Linked DNA regions of Coturnix japonica. The protein of the gene in region 1 interacts with the protein of each later gene in a biochemical or structural test. Links are inferred from orthologs where the notes say so. Each region holds a gene or a part of one and is shown in the gene's direction. Other genes may lie near its edges.

Evidence for each region. The genes of interacting proteins can lie anywhere in the genome.
Region 2: the proteins of AP2M1 (region 1) and ATG9A interact in a biophysical measurement, tested with the Homo sapiens proteins (4 studies listed by BioGRID and IntAct, with this or other methods). The link is inferred for Coturnix japonica from reciprocal best matches to the Homo sapiens genes AP2M1 and ATG9A.

Annotation. Positions count from the first base shown.
Region 1 is NC_029524.1:13,826,203-13,830,486, forward strand, and holds the start of AP2M1 (AP-2 complex subunit mu), read left to right. Parts: upstream 1-1,484; 5' UTR 1,485-1,612; intron 1,613-4,284. Other genes in the region: DVL3 (segment polarity protein dishevelled homolog DVL-3), read left to right, coding at 24-55.
Region 2 is NC_029522.1:24,495,582-24,500,527, reverse strand, and holds the end of ATG9A (autophagy-related protein 9A), read left to right. Parts: intron 1-110; coding exon 111-331; intron 332-430; coding exon 431-548; intron 549-700; coding exon 701-920; intron 921-1,060; coding exon 1,061-1,203; intron 1,204-1,311; coding exon 1,312-1,317; 3' UTR 1,318-3,309; downstream 3,310-4,946. Other genes in the region: ABCB6 (ATP-binding cassette sub-family B member 6, mitochondrial), read left to right, coding at 4,484-4,946. UniProt on the Homo sapiens protein: Phospholipid scramblase involved in autophagy by mediating autophagosomal membrane expansion. Cycles between the preautophagosomal structure/phagophore assembly site (PAS) and the cytoplasmic vesicle pool and supplies membrane for the growing autophagosome.

The DNA of each region.
Region 1 (4,284 bases):
TTTGTGTTTCTTCTATCAAGCAGCAAAGAATTACGGGGTGTTTGACTTTCTCTGAGCCTGCTGCCCACAGGGGGGAGAGCTGGAGCGTGGCGTGGCCCGACAGGAGGACACGGAGCTCCAAGGGCGCTGTGCGCGCATGGCGCTGAAGATGGCTGCTTTTCTCCCCCTAGCGGAAGACGCCCTGAGAGGGGAGCCGGGCCCAGCCTTACATGAATTTTAAATCCCTTTGTAGTTGCCTTTCAGCCAATGTCTGAATGTTCCAGGGCTTCACTGCCTGTGGGGAATGGGGAGATGGTGCCCTTTGCCTCCCCTTCTTGCCCCGGCCTTAGGGAAGAGCACTCCTTCCCCCTGCCCTGTCCTTGGCACTGGGGCCATGCCCCCTGCCTTACTTCCTATGGGACTTGTAGAATTCAGGGCTATGGGGTGAGTGCTCACTTGGCCCAAAGAAGCCTAGAGAGGGCCTCTGCCCTGCTCTTTGCCCCCGTCACTTGCAAGGGCAGTCCTTGGGGCAGCTGTGGCTCTGCCATTGCAACACCACACAGCAGTGGGACCTTTTTGAGAGCTGAGAATGCAGCCAGTGAGTGAGGGAAGGCACACTATGGGGGAACACAGTGTTTGTGTGCAGAGAGGGGCAGCACTGACCTTACCCTGCTCCATTCCCTGTGTGCGATGCTTGGGAGGGACGTGAGCTTTGTGGGCAGTGCTTGCAGCTCCTCTGGGCTCACACAGAGCTGTGGGTCACTTGCTCCAGCCCTCCTCATCCTTTTTCCTCCTCTCACGGCCGCTCAGAGCTGCTCCTCTCCACTCCTGCTGGGCCGTGGGGAGGAGATGTGGGTCCATGCTCCCTTAGCGCCCTCCTGTTGTCTCCTTCACTCTTTCTGTTTGTGGTTCTCTTACACTCTGGAGATAAAATGTGTTTCACTCCTGAGCTCTGTATTATACCCTCCAGCCTGCCCCATGTGCCCTCCCCGCTTGCTCACACCTCTTTCCATGCACATGGGGCTCAGTGTGGTGGCACTGCCCAACTGCCCCCTGTAACCCCTGGTCCCTCTCACTGCCTCTCCTCACCCTGCCCTACTCACTGGATTTTACAAAAACAGAACCATTCTCCTTGTTTTTATTTATAAACATAGTTTTATTGGACTCCTGCCTCGCGTTTTGTTTTGGACCATTCTGCTTCCCACTCCCTGCCACATCCCGCTGTGTAGGGGTGCTGGCTGTTCTCCATTGGGATATACAATGTGTGTGCCCATGCATGGTGTCAGCCTCATATATGCCCATAAATGCCCATACTGTGCAGTGGGGACCAGCGGGGCCGTGCAGGGTGAGGGCGGCCTCCCCTTACAGCCCCATATTGAGGCCTAGCTGCTCTGTGCCGTCCCCCACGAACTACAACTCCCAGCGCGTCCGCGCCTCAGGACTACATCTCCCAGCATGCACCGCGCGGATCAGTCCTTCCCGCCTCCACGCTTGACGCATGCGCAGTGCCAGCGGGGCGCGGGCAGCGCATGCGCGGCGGCGGCTCTGCAGTGCTAGGGGGGGCGCTGAGGGACGGGGGGGCGGCAGCCGCCATCTTGGGCGCTGGGCGGCGAGCGGCGGCGGGCGGCGGCAGGTGAGGCGGCGTGCTGCCATGGGGCCGAGCGGCCTGGTTTGGCTCCCTGTGGGGCTGTGGGGCTCTATCTGTGTTGGGCTGGGTGACCGGCCGGGGTTCGGCGGGCAGCGGCCGTTCCCTCAACGCTCGGGGCCGGGGGTCCGCGGGCCTCCTCGGTGCGGCTGTGACAGCGCCGGGCCGCCTCCCCTCAGCGCTCGGGGCTCGGCCGCAGTTCACGGGGCGGCGGGGCTGCGCGGCAGGACTGTGCTCGGCCCCGGGGGATGGATGGGATGGATGGGATGGATGGGATGGATGGATGGATGGATGGATGGGATGCGACCGGCTCTAAACCCGCCGGGCTCGGGCGTTTCTTGGAGCGGTGGGGTCGGAGCGGCGGCCCTGGGGGGTCGGGTGGGCTCGGTGCGGCACACGGAGCCTGGGGAACGGCCCCGGCTACGTGCCGGGTCAGCCCGAACAAAGGTCCTTTAATCGGATCAGCGGGAACTTCCCCGGGAATCATTCAGCCGATGGGACGGGGCTTCGCTCGGCCGTGGCTTGTCACCTCCAGCTTCCTCTATGGAAAAGCTGCTGGGCGCAGAGCGCCTCTGGTGATGCTGTGCTGAAGCGTAAAGAGGGCCTCTATCCAGCAGCGCCTATGGATGCGGTTCCTCTTCCTTCCTTCCTCGGGCTGGGCTTTGGATCCTGCAGAGCTGCAGGAAAAGCTGCCTTGTTTGTCGCCCTGTGCAGCTGATCGCTGGCCCCACCGGGAAATGACTCCCCGTCAGCTGTGTGATCTCTGTTTTCTCCTCACTTCAGGATGACAAAGCTGCCCTGAGTTTTTAGCCTAAGGCTTTCGGAATCTGAGCCTGGAACGTTCCCAGATAAGCACATCTGAGTGGCTTCAGTAGCTCAGAGCTCTGGTTGTGTTGGATTTGTATCCACATTTAGGCTTATGCGGGTACATAAGTTGTTGGGCACCATTAATGTGAATGCAGCGCTGCAGTTACTGCTTTTTTTTGCCTTATAGTAAAAATTAGACTTGTCCCAGTGAGTTGCTTGCAGGGACAACCTCCAGCCTGATGAGATGCATCCCAGCTGCCTGCTGCCATATTTTCCTTGTCAGAGCGGGGGCATCGTTCATCTTCTGCGGGCAGAGCCATGTTACTGACATCTAGTGACAGAGATACCCGGCGTCCTTTGGGCTGTATTTTCTTCCATATGATGTGATGTCTCCATAGGATATTATGGCCGGCTTCTCCCCTTCTCTCGAGACAGCACATTCCTGGTCTTTGAAGAGCTGAGTCTTGAGGGTACAAAGGGTCATATCTGCAGCTTTTTGAAGCAGAGATAGAGGATTCTTTCTGGGCTATCTCAGGGTTTGTGTGTGTCTTTTTGTTTGCTTCACGTGACCCTGGTTAAACTTTTCTTGGCCTCTTGGTGCAGAGGTGAGATGAAGCTAATCTAGTGCAGCACAGTGTCTTGCATCAGTTTCCTGAGCTTGTACAGCTGAAGGCTGTGAATATGCTCTAAGCTGGAGGGCTGTGTGGTGCTTTAATAACGAGGCCTGTCGTGTTTCCCTGTGTCAGGGTTTCTCTCATCCTCTATAAGCTGATGGCGTGCAGCACGGCACGCAGAGGCTGTAGGAGGGGAGCCTGCTTAGTGTTCAACGTGCTTCTCTTCCTGCCCACTGCTTGTGGGGATTTGTGGGATTGGGTTTAAAATTGGAACGCTTCCTCTGACACCGATGGGCTTATCTCGGGAGCTCTTTAGCTCACATTATGTGTCTTAATTAAATTACACGGCCTGTGTTCCCCAGGATTGCGGCTACTCTTCTTTAAAACCAGGTGTGGCCCGTGGCCTCCTGGACAGTGGCTAATGCAGCGCTATAAGCAAAGCTTAGGTGCTCAGATTAGCTGCTGCGTGATGACATTCGAGGTAAGCCTTAAGCCTGTCGGTTTGATAACAGCTAGTGCTAGCTTGAAAAGACTAGTTTCTTAAATAGCTTGTTTGCCAGAGCAGCCTGACTAATCCGCCTCCTGCTTCTACTGCTGTCATTTGTCCAAGATCACAGTGACTGCTGGAATGCACAAACCGTTACAGTTGGTTTGCCCTTGGTCCTGGGAGAGCTGCAGCACCTCTCCTGGCTTCTTCCTGGATGAGAGCTCCAGCAGCTAATGTACCTCAAACTGCTTAGCTGGATAAGCTCGCTAATGCACAGAAGTCTTACTTACTGTTAAGTCTGAACCCAAACTTTCTTTTAATAGACTGCTAAATGGGTTGGTGCTCTGTGCCAGCTTATCGACTGACTTGTGGCTGCTGCTTCCAAGATGGACTCTGTACGTAATAAACGCTCTTCTTTTCATTCAAGGTGATATCAGGGCTGCAAGGAAATTCCAGGAAGGTGTTTTTCTTCTGGTGTGGATGCTGCACTTAGTGCATTGTGTCTGTGCTCCCAGGTCAGCCACATGCTGCACCTCAGAATTGAAGCTGCTGACAGCCTGGCATCAGGACACTGCTTTGCTGAGCTGCGTTCCAAGTGCGTGGCACAATGTAGGTGTGAAAGGGCAAAGTCTGGCTTTTAAAGGAACACCCGGCATTAGAGCTGTCATGCATTCAAACACACATCCCAGCAGTTTGTTTTTGTACACGATCCTTTTTGTAGCAGACTTTTAAGATGGTGACTTTGCTACCAA
Region 2 (4,946 bases), on another chromosome or scaffold:
GTGGGAAAGGGACTAAAGAGAGCTGGGATCCTTCAGTTTTGTCTCAGTGGTGGGGGTTTTGTCTCCAAGTCTGTGCAGGCAGTGATTCTCTTTCTCTTTTGTCTCTGCAGCCTCACAGCCTGATTGCCAATGTGATAGCAGGCTCCTCAGTGCTGGGATTCCACATGGGCCGTGATGGACAGGCCTCTCGTCATCTCTCCGAAGTGGCTTCAGCCCTGCGTTCCTTCTCCCCACTCCAGTCTGCCCAGCAGCCCTCTGGTGGCTTTCAGACAACAGGAAGGGATGGAGAGGGAACCCAGCCTCGTGGTTCCAGTGCCATGACAGCCTCTGGGTAAGAGCATGCGGTGGCCTTCACTGCCTGACCCTAGAGCAGAGAGAGGCTTGGTGGTATCTGCAGCCACATAAACATCACTCTTGTTTCCCATGGCAGTGCTGATGCGAGGACTGTGAGCTCGGGGAGCAGTGCCTGGGAGGGTCAGCTGCAGAGCATGATCCTGTCAGAGTATGCCTCCACTGAGATGAGTCTCCACGCACTCTACATGCATGAGGTGAGTTGAGCTAACCAGAGGGGATGTGGGCCCAGGGCAGGCAGGACTGGAGTGCCCTGCTTTGGGTGGCTTGGATTGGCTGGAAGAGCCTTGCTGGGGAGAGGGTGCATTGGGGCATCTGTAGCTGACCCACCTGTATCTTGGCTGTGCAGTTGCACAAGCAGCATGCCCAGATGGAGCCCGAGCGGCACACCTGGCACCGGCGAGAGAGTGACGAGAGTGGTGAGAGCACCCATGAGGAGCTGGATGCTCAGCGAGGTGCCCCCGTCCCCCTCCCTCGCTCTGCCAGTTACCCCTTCTCATCTCGGCAGCCTGCTGAGGAGACAGCCACGTTGCAGACGGGCTTCCAGCGACGGTATGGCGGCATCACAGGTATGGGAGCCGGAGCAGAGGTCTGAACCTTCTGGTCACAGTCCCGTAACCCTTGTCCTGTAATACTGGCACAAGCAACATGCTTGTCTCTGAAGACTGACAGCCCCCCAGGTAGCTGATCCTCCTTGCCTTTCCTACAGACCCAGGCACAGTGCACAGAGCCCCATCACACTTCTCCCGCCTCCCACTGGGAGGCTGGGCTGAGGATGGGCAGTCAGCGAGACACCCAGAGCCTGTGCCAGAGGAGAGCTCAGAGGATGAGCTTCCACCGCAGATCCACAAGGTAAGGGAGGAGGCTGTGGCAGACAGGGGCAGCAGGTGCTCTGGATGTCAGGCTGCAGACCAGCTGCCAGCAGCCCTTAAATGCTGAAGTCCTGTCTCTGTCTTGCAGGTATAGCCTTGCAGACCGGGGATCTCGTGGGGGTTGCAGACTGGAAGCCACCTGGGCAGCAGGATGTGGTGTCAGCCCAATTCCTCTCCTATCCCGAGGGGATAGGATGGTCATGGGCTCCATTTTGTTGCCATCGATTGCTGATGAGACAAAACTGCCAGGCCAGCAGCTTTGCGGTGGCGCCTTGTGTCCAGCCGTGTGTCAAGCCAACGTCACTCTGACTCTTGTGGGGTGAATGCGTGTGTGAGTACATACATGTGTCTGTGTTCACATCTGTGTCGTCCGTGTCGGAGGATCACTGCAGAGCCGCTGACAGAGCTGTGGATGGGCTTGGAGGTGGCAATGGCAGCTGCTGTTTGAAGGGATGTGACAAGGCAGCAGCTCCAGATGTCCGCCCGGAGCTGGGACCTGCCTTCGAAATGAAAGCAGGGATGGCTGGCAGCAGTGGGAGCTGTCGGAGCTGCCTTGCTCAGTCTGTAGCAGTGCTGGAACCACACCTGCAGCCCTGGGGAAGTGCCCTGCGCCATGTTCCACCTCGTGGAGAGGATCAATGTTGCACACCTCAGTCTGGAACGGGACAGCGGTGGGGCCCACCCCTCTCTGTGCACATGTGTGCTGCCCTGACACCCTGCAGCAGGATGATCCTCAGCTGCTGCTGTGTGTGTAGGGTTGGGAATAGCTCTGCTGCAGCTCCATCCCCAGCTCTCGTGACACCTGCCCTGTCCCAGGCATACAGGAGAGGGGTCCGTGGAGTGGCAGTCCTGGGTCTCTGTCCCTCCCCACTGGCAGCCCCCTGTGCCAGCCCTCTGTCCTGGGCTAGAATAGCACTTCCTGACCTGCATGGTGCTCGGTTGATGGGCTGCTCCCAGGCCCTCTCGCAGTGCCAAAGAGCTGGTGCAGCCTGATGTCCCCTGGGAGTGCACGTAGCCTGCTCGCAGCCCACAGTGAAGGTCTTGTGCTCTGTGCGCTGATTCCCTTCCCCCAGGCATCATAAAGGCCTTTTTCCTATGCCCGGTCTGTGATGCGTCAGGCCTGTTCTGTGATATCAGCCCTTTCCTCCTGCCCTAACAATGGCTTCAGTGTGTCCTGCCTCTCACCCAGGGGCTCCTGGCTCCTTTCCTTCCTTCCTGAAATCTTTTTGCGAGGATTGCTGTGGAGACCATAAGCTGAGCAGCTGCCTCATGTCATGTCATGGAGGGGGCAGGGAAGAAGGGGTACCTTGAACCCTGAAGTGAGAGGCAAACCACAGCCCAACCTTGATGTGATGGAAGGGTGTGAATCAGGATCTTGGCTTTACAGCACGGCCTTGGCCAGCCCTTCGCTCGGATCGTGCTGTTTTCCCTCATCTCTTGCAGTGGCTGCTTGCGAGGACCTACATCTCAGCTGCCCTTGCCCGGCTTTATTCCACCTCCCTGGCTCTTGTTGCCTGCAGGAGAGACTCCTTGCTTTTTCTATGCCCTGCCCTTCCCCTTCCTGGAGCACAGGTGACCTTTCTCTCCCTGCCAGGCTATTGCCCCGTGCCCTTTGTGCCTGGTGCAGCAGCAGGGACAGGAGGGAGGGGATGGCAAGCAGGGCTGGCTCTGCACCTCACATCCGTGGGCTGCCCTGCTGGTTGTAACTGCAGCCGTTCTAACACCCTTTATTTCCCTGCCTCCATGGGAACCGTAAGCGATGGTGATGTCCTTTGTGCTGCCTGGGCTCCCTCTAGGCACAGTGGGCAGTGCTTGGAGCCTGCAATACACAGTGAGGGGGTTTCAGAGGCTGTGCTCTGGAGGGAAGGAGAGCCCTTTTGCTGGGCTAATGGGAAGGACAGGCAGGGCAGGAGTCCTCGCTGCATGTTGTGCTTGTGTCGTCGGTGTCCCCTGTGCATGGCGAGCCGCAATTCTACATCTCCTTCCTGGGTCGGTGGGCCCGGGGCGCCCAGGGGGGGTGGTGCTGCAGCCCCGCGCCCTCACTGTACAGCTGTCTTGCCATCCAATAAAGATGGGCTGTGTCATCTGTCTGCCTATGAGTGTCACAGCGGCGTGGGGGGGCAGCGATGGTGCCGGGCACCCCGGTGCCCGCGGAGCGTGATTGTAAGGCGGTGAGGAGCCAAACCGGCCGGATTTAGGGCTCAATTTACTGGGACCACGCGGGGGGGGGGGCAGAGCCGCCGTGCCGCAGCAGCGAGGGGGCCTCGAAGGGACTCGGATCCGTGCGGTGAAGGAGCAGCAGCTGAGCGCCCGTCGGGCCGGCGGCCAGAGGGAGCTATAAATACCGGCAGCGCTCCGTCCTGCCCGACCTCTAACAGCGCGCCGGGCTATCGCCGTGCCGCACAACCGGGCTGCTCGTCGCGATAAGCAGCGCCGGCTCCGGTCCCCCACGGCGACACCCCACCTGGGAGCGCTTCGGGGGCGGGGTGGGACGCGATCCGTGGAGCCGGGGGACGGGGGGAAGGAAGGAAGGCCGTGCTGCGGGGCGGGGAGCGGGGCGGGGAGCGGAGCGGGGCGGTGCTACGGCCTGCGGGAGGCACGGGGAGCGGAGCGGAGCGGGGCAGGTGAGCGGGACAGGGGCTCGGGGGGCGGCGGGACGGCGGGCATGGGAACGGGAACGGGAACGGGAACGGGAACGGCGGAGCGGTCGGAGCCGCGATGCGCTCGGGAAGCGGCCCCTGCGCGGCTCCCACGGCGCCGGTGCCGGCCCGGCGTGTCCCTGCGCGTTGCCGGCGTTACTCGGTGTATTTCCTCGTGCGTTGTCCCGTGCTTTATCCTGCGTTTTCTCCACGCGTTGCCCCTTGTTTTTCCCCACGCAGTGCTCTGCCGTTCCCCACGTGTCACCCCTGCGTTCCCCGCCGCGTTCCCCACCCGCAGAGCGCTCGGGAGCATCCCCCTGCCCGGAGCGGTGCCTCTGTATCCCTGCAACGGTGGCAGCGCTGAGCGCTCACTGACCCGACGTCCAAGTGCACGGGGTGACTCTCCCCCCAACCTTTCTCCCCCTTCAAGCCACCAAGTGCAGTGCCAGGCCACAGAGCTGACCCCAACCGCTGCTCATGCTCTGCTGCACACAGAGTGTGTCCCACATGGGTTCACCCCCACCACTGCCCCCTGCCTGGCCGTGCCATCCTGCCCTACAGTTGCAGCCTTGCAGCACCCTGAGACCCCATCTTCTTCTCTCTAGCCACAGACCGGCCAGGATGGCGTTGCTGGAGGGATACTGCGAGCCCAACAGCTCCATGGCACAGGCCTGGGTGCAGCAGGGCTTCCAGCCCTGTTTCTTCTTCACGCTGGTGCCGGCCGTGCTGTTGAGTGTCTGCCTGCTGCTGGGTGCCCTGCAGTACGCCTGCTACGTCCGCTTTGGCCGTGCCATGGAGCCCAAGTACATCCCTCGCTCGCATCTTTACCGTGCCCAGGTCCTGCTGTCCTTGCTGCTGGCTCTGCTGCCCCTCGGTGGGCTGCTCTGGCAGCTGGGGGGCCCAGGGAGGCTCTATGGGTACATGGTGCTGTATACCTGCCTCTGGGCTGCTGCCTGGGGCTGCGCCGTCGCCCTCCTGCAGCTGGAGCACACGCGGGTGCTGGCAAATGACCGCACACGAGGCCACGGCACCGTCCTCCTCCTCTTCTGGGCTCTGGCCTTCGCTGCTGAGAACCTGACCCTGG